4 linked regions of the Saccharomyces cerevisiae S288C genome follow. The protein of the gene in region 1 interacts with the protein of each later gene in a biochemical or structural test. Each region holds a gene or a part of one and is shown on either strand. Other genes may lie near its edges. The genes, in order: MUS81, MMS4, RFC2 and CDC5.

What was found.
Region 2: the proteins of MUS81 (region 1) and MMS4 form a complex in vitro, tested with the Saccharomyces cerevisiae proteins (5 studies listed by BioGRID, with this or other methods).
Region 3: the proteins of MUS81 (region 1) and RFC2 form a complex in vitro, tested with the Saccharomyces cerevisiae proteins (one study listed by BioGRID).
Region 4: of the proteins of MUS81 (region 1) and CDC5, one has a biochemical effect on the other in vitro, tested with the Saccharomyces cerevisiae proteins (2 studies listed by BioGRID).

What each region holds. Positions count from the first base shown.
Region 1 is NC_001136.10:1,244,419-1,249,774, forward strand, and holds MUS81 (Mus81p), read left to right. Parts: upstream 1-1,665; coding exon 1,666-3,564; downstream 3,565-5,356. Other genes in the region: EFT2 (elongation factor 2), read left to right, coding at 1-1,340; CIN10 (Cin10p), read right to left, coding at 3,736-5,356.
Region 2 is NC_001134.8:439,792-444,826, reverse strand, and holds MMS4 (Mms4p), read right to left. Parts: upstream 3,313-5,035; coding exon 1,237-3,312; downstream 1-1,236. Other genes in the region: Hsp70 nucleotide exchange factor FES1, read left to right, coding at 134-1,006; ubiquitin-binding serine/threonine protein kinase VPS15, read right to left, coding at 3,512-5,035. UniProt on the Saccharomyces cerevisiae protein: Interacts with MUS81 to form a DNA structure-specific endonuclease with substrate preference for branched DNA structures with a 5'-end at the branch nick.
Region 3 is NC_001142.9:565,067-569,887, reverse strand, and holds RFC2 (replication factor C subunit 2), read right to left. Parts: upstream 2,246-4,821; coding exon 1,184-2,245; downstream 1-1,183. Other genes in the region: LIA1 (deoxyhypusine monooxygenase), read left to right, coding at 1-267; nucleoside triphosphate pyrophosphohydrolase HAM1, read left to right, coding at 489-1,082; YAE1 (Yae1p), read left to right, coding at 2,444-2,869; phosphatidylinositol kinase-related protein kinase TOR1, read right to left, coding at 3,060-4,821. UniProt on the Saccharomyces cerevisiae protein: Component of ATP-dependent clamp loader (RFC and RFC-like) complexes for DNA clamps, such as the POL30/PCNA homotrimer and the checkpoint clamp DDC1:MEC3:RAD17 complex.
Region 4 is NC_001145.3:268,389-274,112, reverse strand, and holds CDC5 (polo kinase CDC5), read left to right. Parts: upstream 1-2,976; coding exon 2,977-5,094; downstream 5,095-5,724. Other genes in the region: MVP1 (Mvp1p), read right to left, coding at 1-96; AIM34 (Aim34p), read right to left, coding at 399-995; MIX17 (Mix17p), read right to left, coding at 1,450-1,920; YMR001C-A (uncharacterized protein), read left to right, coding at 2,536-2,766. UniProt on the Saccharomyces cerevisiae protein: Protein kinase required for the cell cycle where it is involved in mitotic exit. A component of the fear (CDC14 early anaphase release) network which promotes CDC14 release from the nucleolus during early anaphase. Phosphorylates SCC1/MCD1 and NET1.

The sequences.
Region 1 (5,356 bases):
TCGGTAGAGTTTTTGCCGGTACTGTTAAGTCCGGTCAAAAGGTCAGAATCCAAGGTCCAAACTACGTTCCAGGTAAGAAGGACGATTTGTTCATCAAGGCCATTCAAAGAGTTGTTTTGATGATGGGTAGATTTGTCGAACCAATCGATGACTGTCCAGCCGGTAACATTATCGGTTTAGTCGGTATCGATCAATTCTTGTTGAAGACTGGTACTTTGACCACCAGTGAAACTGCTCACAACATGAAGGTCATGAAATTCTCTGTCTCTCCAGTTGTGCAAGTCGCTGTCGAAGTCAAGAACGCTAACGACTTACCAAAATTGGTCGAAGGTTTGAAGAGATTGTCCAAGTCTGATCCATGTGTCTTGACCTATATGTCTGAATCCGGTGAACATATCGTTGCTGGTACCGGTGAATTGCATTTGGAAATTTGTTTGCAAGATTTGGAACACGACCACGCTGGTGTTCCATTGAAGATCTCCCCACCAGTTGTCGCTTACAGAGAAACTGTTGAAAGTGAATCTTCTCAAACTGCTTTGTCCAAGTCTCCAAACAAGCATAACAGAATCTACTTGAAGGCTGAACCAATTGACGAAGAAGTCTCTTTGGCTATTGAAAACGGTATCATCAACCCAAGAGATGATTTCAAGGCCAGAGCTAGAATCATGGCTGACGACTACGGTTGGGATGTCACCGATGCCAGAAAGATCTGGTGTTTCGGTCCAGACGGTAACGGTCCAAACTTGGTTATTGACCAAACTAAGGCTGTCCAATACTTGCACGAAATCAAGGATTCCGTTGTTGCTGCTTTCCAATGGGCTACCAAGGAAGGTCCAATTTTCGGTGAAGAAATGAGATCTGTCAGAGTTAACATTTTGGATGTTACTTTACATGCCGATGCTATCCACAGAGGTGGTGGTCAAATCATCCCAACCATGAGAAGAGCTACTTACGCTGGTTTCTTGTTGGCTGATCCAAAGATCCAAGAACCAGTTTTCTTGGTCGAAATTCAATGTCCAGAACAAGCCGTCGGTGGTATCTACTCCGTCTTAAACAAGAAGAGAGGTCAAGTCGTTTCTGAAGAACAAAGACCAGGTACTCCATTGTTTACCGTCAAGGCCTACTTGCCAGTTAACGAATCTTTCGGTTTCACTGGTGAATTGAGACAAGCTACTGGTGGTCAAGCTTTCCCACAAATGGTTTTCGACCATTGGTCCACTTTAGGTTCTGACCCATTGGACCCAACCTCTAAGGCTGGTGAAATTGTTCTTGCTGCTCGTAAGAGACACGGTATGAAGGAAGAAGTTCCAGGCTGGCAAGAATATTACGACAAATTGTAAGAATGGTTAAACAATTTTTAATTATTTAACTTTTTCAGTTTTTGTCGTAATGTATTGGGCACCTTTTATGTCCTTTTGACTTTTTTGTAGTTTATTCTCACGTATACTTACCATCTATAGTGTTATTTCATATTTAATCATATTTCCATATTAGATATCTGCCTTCCCCTGTATAATAGTTACTATGATTTATCTTGCTTTGCCTATTCGCGTCATCAACTTCTTTTCTTACCGATCGCGGTAATGCCCTTTAAGAGTGGCATCAACATTGGCGTAAACAAAGTTTCAAAGGATTGATACGAACACACATTCCTAGCATGAAAGCATGGAACTCTCATCAAACTTAAAAGACCTATATATTGAATGGTTACAAGAATTAGTTGACGGATTAACCCCTAAACAAGAACAACTCAAAATAGCCTATGAAAAAGCAAAAAGGAATTTACAAAATGCTGAAGGTTCATTTTATTATCCTACAGATCTAAAGAAAGTTAAGGGAATTGGCAATACAATAATAAAGAGATTAGATACGAAATTACGGAACTATTGCAAAATTCACCACATATCTCCCGTTGAGGCTCCTTCCTTAACTCAGACAAGTAGCACCAGACCACCAAAGAGGACTACTACAGCTTTGCGTAGCATAGTAAACTCATGCGAAAATGATAAGAATGAAGCTCCCGAAGAGAAGGGAACTAAAAAGAGAAAAACTAGGAAGTATATACCCAAAAAAAGATCTGGAGGCTACGCTATCCTTCTTTCCTTACTCGAGCTTAATGCCATTCCTCGAGGCGTTAGTAAAGAGCAAATCATCGAGGTTGCAGGAAAATACAGTGACCATTGTATGACTCCAAATTTCTCCACAAAAGAATTCTACGGTGCTTGGTCGTCTATTGCTGCACTTAAAAAACATTCGTTGGTTCTTGAGGAAGGTAGACCAAAACGGTATTCGCTAACAGAGGAAGGTGTAGAACTAACAAAGAGCTTAAAGACGGCAGACGGAATCTCTTTTCCAAAAGAAAATGAAGAACCTAACGAGTATTCCGTAACCAGGAATGAAAGTAGTGAATTCACAGCAAATCTGACTGACCTCCGTGGTGAATATGGTAAGGAAGAAGAGCCCTGCGATATAAATAACACTTCATTCATGCTGGATATAACTTTTCAAGATTTGAGCACGCCGCAAAGGCTGCAGAACAATGTATTTAAAAATGATAGACTGAATAGCCAAACTAATATATCTTCTCATAAATTGGAAGAGGTCTCTGATGATCAAACAGTACCTGATTCCGCATTAAAGGCTAAAAGCACAATAAAGAGGAGAAGGTACAACGGAGTAAGTTACGAATTGTGGTGTAGTGGTGATTTCGAAGTTTTCCCAATTATTGATCACAGAGAAATAAAGTCACAATCTGATCGTGAGTTTTTTTCAAGGGCATTTGAAAGAAAAGGTATGAAGTCAGAGATAAGGCAACTCGCTTTGGGTGATATTATATGGGTTGCCAAGAATAAAAATACCGGGTTGCAGTGTGTGCTCAACACCATAGTTGAAAGAAAAAGGCTAGACGATTTAGCTTTAAGTATAAGGGATAACAGGTTTATGGAGCAAAAAAATAGGTTAGAGAAATCTGGCTGTGAACACAAATACTATCTCATTGAGGAGACTATGAGTGGCAACATTGGAAATATGAATGAGGCCCTAAAGACCGCGCTTTGGGTCATTTTAGTGTATTACAAATTCTCCATGATAAGAACTTGCAATTCGGATGAAACTGTGGAAAAGATACATGCGTTGCATACTGTAATTTCTCATCACTATTCTCAAAAAGATCTCATAGTTATATTTCCAAGTGACCTTAAAAGCAAGGACGATTATAAAAAGGTGCTTCTACAGTTTCGTCGAGAATTCGAACGAAAAGGCGGTATTGAATGCTGTCATAATCTTGAATGCTTTCAAGAACTAATGGGAAAAGGCGATCTAAAGACGGTTGGTGAGCTAACTATACATGTTTTAATGCTTGTTAAAGGTATATCTTTAGAAAAAGCAGTAGCCATCCAAGAAATATTTCCTACCCTGAATAAAATACTAATGGCATATAAAACGTGCTCCTCGGAAGAAGAGGCTAAATTGTTGATGTTTAATGTACTGGGAGATGCACCTGGTGCGAAGAAAATTACTAAATCTCTTTCAGAAAAGATATATGATGCTTTTGGTAAACTTTAGCAATTTGAAATATAGTCATCCCTGCAAGGTTTTATAAAGAAAAAAGTGATGATATTCTTTTAACTAATATATACATATATAAGAAAAGAAGCCTTAATTTCTCACGGACAAATATACCAGAAGCATATCTGAAAGCCGCCCCAATGCATTATGATGCCACTTGACAACTCATCAATGGTAGGTACGAAAGACATAATGAACATCAATTCCATTATCAAAAACCCTTCCAACCTCTTCCAGTGACAAACCTTTGACTTCTGGATACCAAAAATATACGAAAAACCAGGCACAAACTGTGAAAAAAGCAAAAATGAGCATTGTATTTTCATCACCAATGGTGTTAATAGTGCTCAGATATGTCATTGAAACAAATGCATTGGTCAACCAATTTGTGCAGGCTATACATGATGCCCCAAATGATCTCCTGTTCAAGGGGAGAAATTCCACACAGGTCCATGGAACGCTGCCCATCGCAGAAGCATATGCTGCAACATAAATTACAACAGAAATTAAAAGTAAATTGACTTGGTCATGACCGAAACCTACACTGCAAAGAAGTAACCCAACAGTCATAATCAAAATTGTTCTCAAAAGAATGGCTCTTCTTCCCAAAGAGTCCATGGTGTACATGGCGAAAAAAGTGAATATGAAGTTCGTTGAGGCAATCAAAATTGGAGGCAGTAGAGGGTTTTTTATATTAAATTTGGAAAATATTATTGCCGCATAGTACATAAAAGCATTAAAGCCAGTGATTTGCTGGAAAAACATTAACATGCAACCTACTATTAACGCTCTTATTGTGCGTGGCTCCATTCTGTGTCTTTTCTTTTTGTTAGATGCCAGGGCACCGTTTGGAGCTGGGCCTCGCAACGCCGATAGATATGCTGATGAGGAGGACATTGTGTTGCTAGTTCTTTCTGTGTTCGAGGAAAGTCTTTTAATGTTAGGTGGGCTAAGAGTTCCTGAGGTTGAACTATCCATGTATCGAATAACCGATTGGGACTGTACTAGTAAAGGTTCACTTGCATCTTCGTATAGTCGTAACTTATCGAGTTCAATTATCAGCTGCTTAATTTTACTATTCACATGATATGTAGATGCAGTAGGATATAGCATTCTTAGAGAATCCCTGGTATATAGAATGTCTCCCTTGGAAATGGACCATCGTGGCGATTCAGGGATAAAATCCAGTATTGAAAGGAACAGAATAGCTGGAATAGCAGAAAGTGCGAACAAATATCTCCATGAATTATCAATCTCTTTCATAAGGGACGCAATCACATAGGAAACCAATTGACCTCCAGTGATGGCAATAATGTTCAATGTCAACATAAAACCCCTGATTCTGGAAGGTGAAATTTCACTCAGAAATAGAGGGACGCACTGGGCAGACACTCCAACAGCGATCCCAACCAGCAATCTCCCACAAATCAAAAACGTCAATGTTCTTGCTATAGCCATTCCAATTGCAGCTAGGATAAAAATTGAACAGCAGATTGCGAGAGTAATTCTTCTTCCATACCTATCTGCTAAAGGAAATGCCAGAATAGAGCCAAAAAATGATCCGACGCTTGTACTGGAAGTTATCAGCTCCTTCTGAACATCCGTTAAAACTACCAAAGATAGATCTTCGGGCTTTAAAGAAAGCAGAACACCTGATATAACACCAGTATCATAGCCGAATAAAAGCCCACCAATGGTAGCACCAACGAAGATTAACGACGTTTTGAACGTTAAAGCATATGGGAGTTGCTCGATGTCATTGGCAGTATTGGATGTTACCTGGGAGATA
Region 2 (5,035 bases), on another chromosome or scaffold:
AGGCATCTCGCGCTGACAGAAATTTGCTTATAAACCAGCGATTGGCTATATCTAAAAGAGCACTCATCGTCAGTCAGAAAGCCATTACCTTTCAACGAAAGAGTAAAATAGAAAAAAAAACACATACATAACTATGGAAAAGCTATTACAGTGGTCTATTGCGAATTCTCAAGGGGACAAAGAAGCTATGGCTAGGGCCGGCCAACCTGATCCTAAATTGCTACAGCAGTTATTCGGTGGTGGTGGTCCTGACGATCCAACCTTAATGAAAGAATCCATGGCTGTTATTATGAATCCGGAGGTTGACTTAGAAACAAAACTCGTTGCATTTGACAACTTTGAAATGTTGATTGAGAACTTAGATAATGCTAATAATATCGAAAATTTAAAACTGTGGGAGCCATTGTTGGATGTTCTTGTTCAGACGAAGGATGAAGAACTACGTGCTGCTGCTTTATCCATTATTGGAACGGCTGTGCAAAACAACTTGGATTCGCAAAATAATTTCATGAAATACGACAATGGTCTGCGAAGCCTTATCGAAATAGCTAGTGACAAGACAAAGCCACTCGACGTGAGAACAAAAGCTTTTTACGCACTATCTAATCTAATAAGAAACCACAAAGATATCTCAGAAAAGTTTTTCAAATTAAATGGGCTCGACTGCATAGCACCTGTATTAAGTGATAACACCGCCAAACCAAAACTGAAAATGAGAGCCATTGCCTTATTGACCGCATATTTGTCATCTGTTAAGATTGATGAAAATATAATCAGTGTGCTGAGAAAGGATGGAGTAATTGAAAGTACGATTGAGTGCTTGTCTGACGAGAGTAACTTGAACATCATAGATAGAGTTCTGTCTTTTCTCTCTCACCTGATATCTTCCGGAATAAAATTTAATGAACAGGAATTGCACAAATTGAACGAAGGTTACAAACATATCGAGCCTCTAAAGGACAGACTTAATGAAGACGATTATTTAGCCGTAAAGTATGTATTATGATTACGTCCGTAGAAATAAAATGATATTACATTCACCATTTCATATTATCTTTAACCGGAATCTCGAACATTTATTATTAACACTGTTTTATTTTATTACGAATATTTATCAATAGTACTTTCTGTAAAATGGAATTCATTAAAAAGGTAAGGAGGGGGAAATAGAGCTGCAGTGATTTTCAAAACGACTGCCTTAAGGTATGTTCTTATATACAAAGTTTCGTTCGATCATCATTCAATAGTATCATTTGGATCAGTACAAGTAAACAGTTTGTACAATCTTTTTTCTACTGCCTCAGTCATCAAGTATTTACCTTCGTTGTCTGATTGCAGTCTTCCCTTTTCAATATCTTCAAGTAATGATTGAAAACTGGGGTATAGGCTCACGACATTATTCGCCTTCATTTCAGGCATTCTCCCTATCTGATGAAAGGTTTTCTTTAGCGTTTCTGTACTATCCTGAGCGGATTTTACATTCAAATGAGCATATTTCATATACCGAATTGCGGGATCCATGCGCTGTTTTCCAATTAATGACACTAGGTTCGGCAGAGAATTAATAAACTCCATATGTGAATTTACAGTATGTATTTTGACATGCCATTCTCTATCAATGAAGCGCAATCGTTGCTCTAAATCAAATTTTTTTATCCCTAATTTTCCAACTTGGCTTGATTTTTTACTTCTCGGTCTTAAAGCTTCTTCTGTTCCTGACAATCGTTGTTCTACCCTAGCTTTGTACTTTTCATTTTCTAATTGGAAAATAGCTCTTTTGAGTTTATTTATATCGCTTAGTATAAGAATCACATGTTTTCCATTCTTTGAGAAAAATCGTATCTTCCTATATAATTCTTTCTTTTGTGAAGTGTATTGTTCAAAAAATTCTTGCGCATCATAATATAGAATCAAAACGTTTTCTTCAACTATTTTGGGATCACAGGGGTAATAGAAATCGTTACTAAAGTCGTAAATACTGTCACATTTTCGAAGAAATCTTAAAAGCGGCATAGAATCGTTATAGCTTGATTGCACAACTGCTGGTGCCAATTGTTGTTGCAGATCACTGTCTCCTTTTTTAAATAACTGGAGAAGGCTAGGCGAAAACTCTATAATCATTTGAGAGCGTGCTTTTATATTATCTCGATATATCTGGTTAACTCGCTTAAAAGCATTTTTGTTTTCTTTTAACAAGTGTCGTATTTTGTTTTTTGAGTCTTCTCTAGTATAGTATTGCCCATAGGCAATATAATTCTCTAGTTGTGATACCTCTCTGGCAGTATTTTTAGTACATTTGGGATCCTCAGCCGTTAATGTTTTCGAGCGTTTTGCTTCCTGAAAACAATTAGCGTTGCTAAAGATTGGTTGACTACCTGTCCTTACTATGTTAGACCCCTTTGCAGGGGTTGAAAGTACATCAGTAGTAATACTATCTGAGGAATCGAGAAATTTAGAAAGATTTAGTTCTACTGTATCAGGTAGTTTGGTGCTGTTGATTAGTGTTCTTGATAACGCTATGGTTCTCTTCTTTCCTTTCGGAAGGTGTTCTTGCTCGTCTTCACCTTTATTGTATACCCTTTTTGCCATGGATGTCCCATCTTCACCATGATTTTGTTTTCCTGCTGGTTTCAGGCTATTATCTGGTGAAGAATTTTCATTAGCAATCGAATTGTGCTTTTCTTCAGTTGGGTTCTCATGTTTTACTGGAGACAGTGGAAAATCGAACAGTATATCAGCTGCTCCTATCTGTGATTTCGGACTATCACTAATGTCACTATTGGTTTTTCCGATTCCTTGTGTCTTATATTCGCAGTCAACAGCAATAGGCTCTGGATTTTTTAAAGACTGTACTCCCCATTTCTCTGCGATGTCCCTCAAATTGTATTGTGATTTGTTGTGCTTCTTTCCACTCGACTCAAGATCAGCTGACCATTCATCACTTATTAGATCATCCAAAAGTTTTTTCGCGTTTCCTTTTGCATTATTCTCATTTCTGAGAGACGAATCTATGATGGAATTTACTGTTGTAGAAAAGTCATCTAGCTTGCTTATACTGATATCTTGGAAGAACGGCGCAGAAAGTTCGATAGATTTGTTTAGGTCAACATTCTCAACATCATTCGAAACAGATTTTCTTTGCGGTGATGATGGAATCATCTCTGCAGAGCTTACATGTGCCCTTTTGCACTCATCTTGATCCATTGATTCCGAGAGAGCGATAATTTCAACATTTGAGGGTCCATCGATGATCTGAATACTGGCATCGTTTCTTGAATCTTTGTCCTCAACAAAATCAACGATCTGGCTCATTTAACTAGCTGCAATATGTGACTACTATTATTCTATACCATAATCCATACATTGTTCTTTATTTACGTATACAACCATTTTTTTCGTGAAAAGGGTACTTCAACGCGTTGCAAGCCCTTTCCTAAATGATCGAAAATGTTTAAGGTGAATACAAATTTATACGCATTTAGAATAAAGAAGCTGAATAAAATAAAAAAAATTATTGGAAGATTCCAATAAGCCCTGAGTTATCACAAGCAACCAGCAAAGGTGTCTCATCAACTTCACATGTAGATATAGAATTTATAATATCATGATGATATAGAGAATCATCTACTGAATGAGTGCTAGTACGTTTCATTTTTCTCAATAACATTGTGAGATTTGCCGTAACTTGTGTAGGAATAAAAACGTCACTGAATCTTGAAGGACTTATTACTGCTTTAGAAGAAGAAAGCTCATTTAGGCTAAACATAACAATGGAACTTGTTGCTTCATCGGTAAGAAGAATTTTATCATTAGATACTGAGATAGTGCTTAGTGCGTTTAAAGACCTGATTCCACAAAAATTTAATTCTTCTAAGCCTTTCTCAATTGGTAAAAAGTGCTCCATAGATGGCTGTTCATCAGAATTTATGAAAGCATACTGACAATGCCCCTTAACAAAATTCCATATTGTTAGAAATGTTTTTGAACTACCTCCTACAACAATTACAGAATTCTTTCCATAAAACTGACAAACCTCCACATGCGTGATTGGTGCGTGGTCCCCAAAGGACCAACTCCTTATCAGCACGTTGAAACGGATATCCCATATATCAATAATACCTCTAGTCGTCCCCAAAATTAGGACACAACACTCTTCATCGATACAGATGCTTGAAACGGCACCATGCCTTGGAGAATTCTCTATAATTTGTAACCTCTCCAGGGTTCTAATATCAAATATAATAACCCTTGACAAATTCGTCAATGCTACTAGTAGAGATTTTTCCTCATTCACAAATGCTCTCATTCTCACTGCGTATTCATTTTTACCAAAATTCTTCAAGTTAATTTTCCTGATGCATTCGCAATTCAAAAATTTGACTTCACTTTCTTGTTGGTAATGATTAACCTTTAATACAATTATTTGTCCATCTTTACTGGAAACGGCAAACGCGTCAAAGTTAGGAATCATGGTTATCTGAGTTACGGTAGAGGAGCAGTCATAAGTTAAAGAAGAAGAGTAAACCTCGCCCACGATAATCTCTTTCAGGTTCCAAATCTTGATTACACCTTGATCTGAACCTGTTATTAAATAGGGTGTTTCTCCTGGAGAAACAGCAGAAGACGTAATAGAATTGGGTTCGTTTTCCATCAAAGTAGCTATCAACTTGCCCCTCAAATTACCCATGTTTGGACTCCGTACAATCTCTTGAATAGGCCCAAACTCCTTATAATCTCTCAGAGGAGGTAAAATTTTGAAAGTCGATAGGAATTTTTCTATGCTTTCAACGTCGCCTTCATAGCTGTTGCTGACGACTACCTTCCTTTCTGGTTTAACATTTGCATTATCTTTCAAGCCATGATTTGGAGAATGCATGTGATAGGACGTTGGTTCTAACTGAACAAAAACGTTCTTCAAATTAGAAGTAGTAGTGGCAATGGACTTATTTTTGAATATTAGTGATCCATTTATGTCCATGACGGTAGATAGCTGTTTGCTACCGTTAATATTTAGCTTATTGCTATCTTTCTCACT
Region 3 (4,821 bases), on another chromosome or scaffold:
GAAATCGCCTACGTCTTCGGTCAAATAGGTAGTCCGGCTGCTGTCCCAAGTTTGATTGAAGTTTTGGGCAGAAAGGAAGAAGCTCCAATGGTTAGGCATGAAGCTGCTGAAGCCTTGGGTGCCATTGCTTCTCCAGAAGTTGTCGACGTCTTGAAATCTTACCTCAACGATGAAGTCGATGTCGTCAGAGAATCTTGTATCGTTGCGCTAGATATGTATGATTACGAAAACAGCAACGAACTAGAATATGCTCCAACTGCTAATTAGAAGAATCAGCATCATCAATAATGATAGTAACAATAATCATTGTATAATCTTGTATTTTATACTTTTCAAAACCCGCCATTTCCGTTATATATACAAATGTATCAAATAGCAAAAAAATTATTTATTTTCGAAACCGTTCTCTCGAGCTTCAGCTTTCAACACTGGTCTTCAAAGCATAGGAAACACTCACATAGAGATATCTAAAAACGAACGATAGCAGAATGAGCAACAACGAAATTGTATTTGTCACTGGCAATGCCAACAAGTTAAAGGAAGTGCAGTCGATTTTGACTCAAGAGGTCGACAACAACAACAAAACCATCCACTTAATCAATGAGGCCTTAGACCTGGAAGAATTGCAGGACACGGATCTGAATGCCATTGCGTTAGCTAAGGGAAAGCAAGCTGTTGCGGCCTTGGGTAAGGGTAAGCCAGTGTTTGTGGAAGACACTGCGTTGAGATTTGACGAATTTAACGGTCTACCAGGTGCTTATATAAAATGGTTTTTAAAGAGCATGGGATTGGAAAAAATTGTGAAAATGTTGGAACCCTTTGAAAATAAAAACGCTGAAGCAGTTACCACCATTTGTTTTGCTGATTCTCGGGGTGAATATCACTTCTTTCAAGGTATTACAAGAGGCAAGATCGTTCCAAGCCGGGGACCCACTACATTCGGCTGGGATTCAATTTTTGAACCTTTTGATAGTCATGGACTGACTTACGCAGAGATGAGCAAAGACGCAAAGAATGCTATTTCTCATCGTGGTAAAGCCTTCGCTCAGTTTAAAGAGTACTTGTATCAAAATGACTTTTAGGTGATGTGCTGAGAAGATAAGAGGAATTATGGATAGATTTTTTTTTTTTTATTCTTACTTTATGTCGCCTCTATATTCAATTATATAAAGATGCCTGTATATTAGAGTTGGGATATTTTAACCAATAAGTTTAATAATTGGATGTGCTCGTTCGTTCCGTTGTTTAATCTGGAATCCGTAGTAAACAGCAACCAAGATATTTGATTTTTGAAGTTCGTATCAAAGTTATCGTTGGTGATGTAATATTCATGTAGTTGGTTAACTACTGACGCAGCAGACCAACCGCTTTTCATAAACGTATTGACGTATTTCTTAATCTCATCAAAATCACCACTTTTGACTTTTTCAACAATTTCTATTAGAATGTCATGAGGTACCACACCAGCTAATTCTTCCACTTGGGTAGAAGTTATGTTTTTACCATCACCCAAGTATTGCGCCCCCTTGGAAGCGGATTGTAATAATGTAATGCCTCTTCTCAAGTCACCTGCCGAAATGTCCAAGATCCTTTCCAAAACTCCATCATCACATTTAACATTTTCTTGTTCGCTGATAAACCTCAAACGGTCAATGGCATTACTTGCGTCTAGGGCTTTGAATCTAAATTTGGAACAACGGGACGCTAGCGGGTCAATAATTCTTGTCACATAATTACAAATCAAACAGAATCTTGTTACTCCTGAATAGGTTTCCATTGTTCTACGTAATGCACTCTGTGCATCGGCAGTCATTGAATCGGCCTCATCGAGAATAATGATCTTATACGGTGGGCACGGATAGTTCTCCAAGTCATGTTTGCTAGGCTTGGATACAGTCAATCTTGCAAAATTTTTTACCTTTTCTCTTACAATAGAGATACCACGTTCGTCAGAAGCGTTCAACTCCAATATTCTTGATTTCATCAAGTCGGGTCCATATAATTCTTTTGTTAGCGCTAAAATGGTAGACGTTTTACCAGTTCCTGGGGGACCATAAAACAACATATGTGGTAGATTAGCTGACTTTAAGGTTTTCTTCAAAACAGTAACGGCATGATCTTGAGCTGTCACTTCATCTAGGTTTTTGGGCCTGTATTTCTCAACCCAGGGTTGTTGTGCCAATGATTGCTCTGCGGCTAACTTTGATATCTTACGCTTTTTATTTGGACCAAACCCTTCAAACATCTCAAGTGATTGCCAATACTTTCCCCCAGTATTTCTCGCTGTCTCTCTATTTTACTTCTCTTATAGCATTGACTTGTTCGCTTGAGTTACTTCCTGATTGCTTTGAAATACGCGAAGTAAAAGAGTGAAAAATAACGATGAGAAAGGTTTTTGATAGAAGAGAACAAAAAAGGAACAGTGTTACAATAGTATATAGAGATGTCGAATACTTGGGACGATGTATGGGCATCAGACAGTGATGTCGAAACTGAACGATCTCCAGATTTAGTGAAGTTAAGAGAGAATCATAGCAAGAGGGGGTACTTGGACGGAATAGTGAGTTCTAAAGAAGAAAAGCTGCAAGAGGGTTTCAATGATGGTTTCCCAACGGGCGCTAAATTAGGGAAACAAGTTGGCATAATTATGGGGATTTTACTTGGCCTACGAACACGTTTTGGTGATGAAGATGAGGACCTCAGTAAGGCATATATTGATGCTCAAAAAGAATTACGCATTAACAAAGTACTTAGTAAGTCCATATTTGATCCAAACTTTGACTTGCAAGAAAAACATCCGCTCATAACAAAATGGACTGATATTGCCAATACCTATTGTGAAAAGTACCATGTGCCATCTATCCAATAAAGTTGTTTTAAATGGAGTTGATTTCACAATTTATGTACCTTATATCATCCTTCATTTCACATAATGACGAGATATTACAAAAATAATGATAATAATAATAATAATACACAATACTTGCACACGTATACAAATGCGTAATACAAAAAAAATAAATAGTAAACAAAGCACGAAATGAAAAATGACACCGCAGTCACCAGAATGGGCACCATCCAATATAATGTTGACATAACCTTTCAATAGAAGTGGCTTGTTGGATCAGTTTATCAACCTGCTCAGGGACGTCTAATTCATTGAACCTCTTGATATCATTGCCCGTTAATTTATCTGTAATACGTCTCAAAACAAGCATTGCTCTGGCGTTTTTGGTCTCATTTTGTTGTTCTGCTTCCATATTTGCCGCTTCTTCGACAGTAATTGCCCCCTTCCTTAATAATTCACTAGGATTAATCAACGGCAAAGGAATTCCAGTTTGCTCAGTAAGTTTTTGTGGCGGTAAATCAAATCCCCAATGGATCAAAGGATCAAGCGCAAAAGCTTCCAAGATCGCCATTAATGATTCTTTATTATCTCTTAAGACTCTCATGACATTTTCACAAGTAATTCGGAAACTGCCTTCAATTCCACTAACTTCCATTGCGTATGTTAACATCCTAGTTAGTCTAAATGGCACTTTTTCTGGATACTTTTCTCTTAAGATGGCAGCTTCAAAACAATCGCCGAAATCAATGTGGATAACTTTACCGGTGATTCTATCTAGCATCAGGTTGCTTGGATGGCGATCACCTAGTCCCAGAATATAACCAGTCATGGACATAACTGCTAAAGATCTCGTATAAGTTGTTCTACGTTCTAGCCATGTCTCTGACGACCTACTCTTTAACCATAATATTTTATAAAGGTCTTGGCCTTTTGTATTATCTAAAGCGTACGTGAATACTTCAATTTTTTGTAAAAGAGTCAAATTCTCATAATCGGGGGCCATTTGTAACATAACCCAATGTTCAATGTTCAACGGAATTTTTTTGGCATCACGGTGTTCTCTGATCAAAACGTGGAATGTGTCACTATTTGGTACCCATCCTAGTAAACCAGATTTAGGCGACAATGGAATAGCCGGGTATTGTTGGATATCCAAATGTCTCTTGAAACACTCTGAATCATTCTTCAACAAAGTGTTAACTAGACCAAATAATTGCATAACAAGGCTATCTTGTCTTATATCTTCATGTCCCTTTAAAACGTATTTATAATCTTTACCGTCGCTACCCTTGATGGAGAATTTTCTTGGCCTTTGCTTCGAAGAGATCACAGAAAATAATGGCTCAAACTTCGCTATTCTAATGGTAGGTTTTCCTGGGAAATATGTCCCAGGAACAGCCAATTCGAGATCATGAGTAGCCAGAAGCTGGGGAGAAACATGCTGTAAGTCTAAGGTTTGTAACTGTGGTATTTGACGTGTTATTTTTCTGAAGACGTTATAATAAATATCCCAAGCTTGGTTCAAATTATTGATGTCTTTTGACTTTTTGTAGTTATTCAACCATTCGTAGGCATCGTTCAAATCTCTACCAAATGATTTCTGAAACGATACCTCACTTAACGTTTGAGGCTCATTGCCTAAGTGTTTATGTAAAGGTTCTAAAGTAGAAAACATTTTTTCTATGTTATGTTCAACGAAAAATTGGCGGCTCGCATCTTCCAGTCCTTCATACCATAATTCGTGCCATAGAACGGCTACTCTGATCAACTCGTGACTAACTAATTCTGCCTGGTTTACCAGGACTGGACTATGAATCCTAATTTTCTCTATTATTGAAAGAGCCGCTTTTTGTCTTGAAACAGATTCAGACTTGATCGCGACAGTTAAAGGATACACGAGAGCTTGTGGATGAGCTTTCCCTAAATCAGAAAGCAACGACAAAAGGGAATTACTCACCGTAGGATCTGGCTGA
Region 4 (5,724 bases), on another chromosome or scaffold:
GGGTTCACTATTGGTGGTAGAAACGACGTGATCATCATCCTTAGTCCATGCATTAGAACTGGTATTCCAAGGATCACTGCCTTCGTAATTGTCCATTACTTTTTTTTTCGCCTCAGTGGTGTTTTATAGAATCCAAATTCGATTGCTTTTACTATTATTTCTCTTACAACTTGGGTGAAAAGAAGTGGCGTTCACCCTGTTTTCATTGTACCTTCCTTCCTCACTTTTTTTTCTGGCATGTGTTTCGTAAAAGCGCCTACCTTAACCGAAAATGACGGCAATATCGAGATGATCTGGATCAACAATAACTTATTGAGAGCGTAGAGAAAAGTAAAAGTGTCTTAATAAATTATGAAAGAATATACAGTTCAATTAATTACAGTGCTAGAATTATATTTCTAATGGTCAATGGTAGGTTTAGATTCCTGAGGTTCGAGGTTCCACCAAAGACACGATAACATGAAAAATCCTAATAAGAATATTCTATCCCTTGGTTGCAAGTGTGAATGAACGTCGCAGGGAGTTTCGATAACAGGTGTGTTCTGCAGTGAAGAAATATTTTTTTCAATAGTTCTAAAAGTTTTATCACTAACCAATTTCTTCGTGATTTTGATTGGATCATTTATTAATATCCTCTTTTTTTTGGGTTCATTTATCTTCACACTACTTTTTTTATTTGAACATGAATCGTGCGTGATAAGTCTTTGTAGCAAATCTGATTTGCGACCTGATAATTTTAACCCTCTTGATTTGCACTGCTCTTTGAGAACTTTAACTGTAAATTTTTGAAAAGGTGTTATATCGTTATTATTCATTAAAAAGCTCAAGTGGCTCTTCGTTTGGGTGCTATGTACATATCTGTGTAGGCTCACCTTGTAAGCACCGGGCTGTTTCAATAGTAAGGTAAACGGTAAATATAGAGATCTCCCTGGCTCAGCCGCCCGTATGCCGGAGAATTGTTGTGAAACAATTCTACCTAATAGAGAAATTGACATGTCTTCTTTCAGAAGCTTTACTTTGCCGGTTCAGCTGCACTAGGTGTCTTTTTGAGAAACATGCGTATCACAGGCCCTTCTGAAGAAGAGCATAAAATATAGTAAATAAACAAACTCTTCGAAGGTACTACGTTACCCTCCCCTGTTGAGAACTTCATAGGAAATGTCAGCCACACCGCGCGGTGGGGGTGCAGATGATTAAATGATTATGAAGTCAATAAATTGGATGATTTGATTTATAAAAGTTATTTACATACAAAATAAAACAAATAAATATCCATATATATAAGACATTTAGTCCTTATTCCTTTCATTTTTTCTTGTTCTCACGTGGAGTATGCGATTCTGTGAAAAACCATCAAAAAAAAATAAGTCAAATGACATGGTTAAAACAAGAACATTACCGAAATGTATGATTTTAGTGAATATTTTCTAAATTTTTGAGCTTTTAAACTTAGTATTGACGTGCAGCTTCCTGGCAGGCTTTTAGTTGCTGCAAGTAATAATCACATATCTGGAAGTTGCCGTTGTTTTCATCCAAACAACGTGTAAAGTTTCTCGCGTCTATTTCACAAGTTCTTCCCAACTGCTGGTCCGTTTGGGTTTGGCCGGAGGTGTTGGCCATATTTTGCTGTTGTTGCTCAACAGGAGCGGAATCAGACCCGGATCCGGAAAACATACCGGTAATACCTGCACCTAGGGTGTGTCCAATGGTGCTACCAACGGCAACACCTGCAGCAGTGGAGGCCATCTGCGCAAACATACCTGGCTGTCTCGTTTGGGCACCTGCAGCAGGAGGGTGTGAATAGGCATTTGGTTGTTGTTGTTGTTGTGGATGAACTGGAGCCGCCATGGTAGAAGCGGACCTTGTCTGAGTAGGTCTCGATCTCGATATAGGTCTTGATGATCCTCTTGAACGTGCCATATTTTAGAATTTTGTTGCTGTTGTTGCTTTTCTTGTTCTGTTCTTTGTTCGAAATATTAATCCTTTTTCTTAAAGGTTATAAACTGTACGAGTGATAGGCTTATATAGGTCGCGGAGATTGCGGTGGAGTGAAAAAGCGCTTTTCTTTTATACCTTTGTTCAAGGTGGCGTTTGCCGTATAAAAGCACACATGACATAACCGAACCTCGGAAAATGAAGTTGCACTGTTATTGCCTTCCAGATGTGTAGAATCATCACCATCTTCTGTGATAAATGAAGAGGGAATCGTACGAGGACGCCAGCATATTTTTACATCAAAATTTATGTTATTGTTGAAGGAACATTGAAAAGATAGGGCGGGCAAAATCTGCGATCAAGCCTATCCTCTTTCATCTCAGCTGTTCTAGATGCGTTACCCGGTGGTAACTTCACTGCATATTATTACTTTATATACCTTATTCTATATGTTGCCCGGGTAGGGCATTATGTAGCATCACCCGGAAGAACTTTTGGACTTTTCTCTGTCAAAAGATATTACCTAAAAGGGTCAAAACAAAACAAACCCAATAAAGAAAATCCAAAATATAGAACGAATAAATATCTCGAGGACCTGGGATGATCTTTGAATGTACATCCTTTGAAACAAGGCATATCTTGAACAGTTACTCTTGTGCTACTCAACTTTCGTACAATACATATAGAATCACTGAGAAAGTAAATCCAATTCAAGCGGCAGTTTCAAAGAACAATAAGCCTTTTGTGTCAAATTCTGATTCTGCTTTTTTTCCTATTTTTTCATCCTTCAATTTTGTGGCATATACTACATTAACTTTCAAGAAAACTTAAAAAAGAAAAGACAAAAAAGCTAAACTGCATAGTCAAGTTTGTATAATTGAGCTGAGTATTATTTTTTGTACACAAAAACATTGGCTTTCTTATATCTTCTCTATATATACTCTCTTTCATTCATCGATAAACGTTACATTTGTTATTCATAGAGAATAAAAATCACAGCCGTGGAGAAGAAAGAACAGAGTAAGATCAAGTCGAATAAAGATGTCGTTGGGTCCTCTTAAAGCTATCAATGATAAGCAATTGAATACCCGTTCCAAGTTAGTTCACACCCCAATAAAGGGAAATACCGCAGACCTCGTAGGAAAAGAAAATCACTTTAAACAAACAAAGAGACTAGATCCGAATAATGATCATCACCACCAGCCAGCTCAAAAAAAGAAAAGGGAAAAGTTATCAGCTTTGTGTAAAACACCACCTTCATTAATCAAAACAAGAGGAAAAGACTATCACCGAGGTCATTTTTTAGGTGAAGGTGGATTTGCTCGCTGTTTCCAAATTAAGGACGATTCAGGCGAAATTTTTGCTGCCAAAACAGTTGCTAAAGCCTCAATTAAATCAGAGAAGACAAGAAAAAAGTTGTTGTCGGAGATTCAAATTCATAAAAGTATGTCCCATCCAAATATCGTTCAGTTTATTGATTGTTTTGAGGATGATAGCAATGTCTATATCTTATTGGAGATATGCCCCAACGGTTCATTAATGGAATTACTAAAAAGAAGAAAAGTTTTAACAGAACCAGAAGTTAGATTTTTCACCACTCAAATATGTGGTGCAATTAAGTATATGCATTCAAGAAGAGTTATACATAGAGATTTAAAACTTGGTAACATCTTCTTCGATTCAAACTATAACTTAAAGATTGGTGACTTCGGTCTGGCAGCTGTGTTGGCGAATGAAAGTGAACGTAAATACACCATATGCGGAACACCTAATTACATCGCACCTGAAGTGTTGATGGGTAAGCATTCTGGACATTCATTTGAAGTAGATATTTGGTCATTAGGTGTTATGCTTTATGCTTTGTTGATTGGTAAGCCACCCTTCCAAGCAAGAGATGTAAACACTATTTATGAAAGAATCAAATGTCGTGATTTTTCGTTTCCAAGAGATAAACCAATCTCAGATGAAGGTAAGATTTTAATAAGAGACATTCTATCCTTAGATCCAATAGAAAGGCCCTCTTTGACTGAAATTATGGATTATGTATGGTTTAGGGGAACTTTCCCACCATCTATTCCTTCGACGGTCATGTCAGAAGCACCAAATTTTGAGGATATTCCTGAAGAGCAGTCACTGGTTAACTTCAAAGATTGCATGGAAAAATCTCTACTATTAGAAAGCATGAGCAGCGATAAAATTCAGCGTCAAAAGAGGGATTATATTTCTTCAATTAAATCTAGTATCGATAAACTAGAAGAGTACCACCAAAACAGACCATTTTTACCACATTCTTTATCCCCTGGCGGGACGAAACAGAAATATAAGGAGGTTGTTGATATAGAGGCACAAAGAAGATTAAACGATTTGGCTCGTGAAGCAAGGATACGTAGAGCACAACAGGCCGTTTTGAGAAAAGAATTAATAGCTACATCGACCAATGTCATTAAATCAGAAATCTCCTTGAGAATATTAGCCAGTGAGTGTCATCTTACTTTGAATGGCATTGTAGAAGCAGAAGCTCAGTATAAAATGGGAGGTCTTCCGAAATCAAGATTGCCTAAAATTAAACACCCAATGATAGTTACCAAGTGGGTCGACTACTCCAACAAACACGGATTCTCCTATCAGTTATCAACAGAGGATATTGGTGTCTTATTTAATAATGGCACCACAGTTCTCCGATTGGCAGATGCAGAAGAGTTTTGGTATATTAGTTATGACGATCGGGAAGGTTGGGTAGCAAGTCATTATTTATTGAGCGAAAAACCACGAGAGCTAAGTAGACATTTAGAAGTAGTTGATTTTTTTGCCAAGTACATGAAGGCAAATTTGAGCCGAGTATCTACGTTTGGCAGAGAAGAATATCATAAAGATGATGTATTTTTGAGAAGATACACAAGGTATAAACCATTTGTTATGTTTGAACTAAGTGATGGTACTTTCCAGTTCAATTTCAAAGATCATCATAAAATGGCAATATCCGACGGAGGTAAATTGGTGACCTACATTTCTCCCTCCCATGAAAGCACCACATATCCCTTAGTTGAAGTACTAAAATATGGCGAGATCCCAGGATATCCAGAAAGTAACTTTAGAGAGAAACTAACTTTGATAAAGGAAGGTTTGAAGCAGAAGTCCACAATTGTTACCGTAGATTAAACCAATATTAAAGTAGAAAGAAATACGAATACGAAATTACCAGTCCATTGATTGGGCCCCATTAATAACTAATACTAAATAAAATAAATGGTCTTGCCCTTAACGAAGATAATATATAATATTTACCCCTAGCATTAATACCCTTTTTCTAAAGGTACGAAATGAACAAACATCTTTCATGTTAGTTCTTCCTTTTCAATAGTTCTCATATAGCGTTTTTTTTCGCCTGAGCGGTTCTAGAGCTATATCTATTCAAAATTGCCATGCTTTTGTATTCATATTGTATGTATGGGATGATAACCTGTCGCTTCCTGAGATTTTCTCAAAAATATTGTTTTGAACCTAGATTTCTTTTTAATTATTCTTACAGGTGCCCATTGGAAGAGTGACAACATTAATTTTGAAAGCTATTCACTTGGTACATCCGCGGTTTACCAATTTTTAAGTTTTATCAAAAGCTGGCTTACTTGACATGTATCTACAAACTTAAGAATACTATTATGGGCAGTTATTTGCTAATTCTTTGTTACCTAGTTAAAATCCAAAAAATCCTGATTTATATTCATTTTATTACTGTATTCCTTTTTTCAAGGCGGGAGAAACTTATACCGCCATAGTAAAATAAATAGT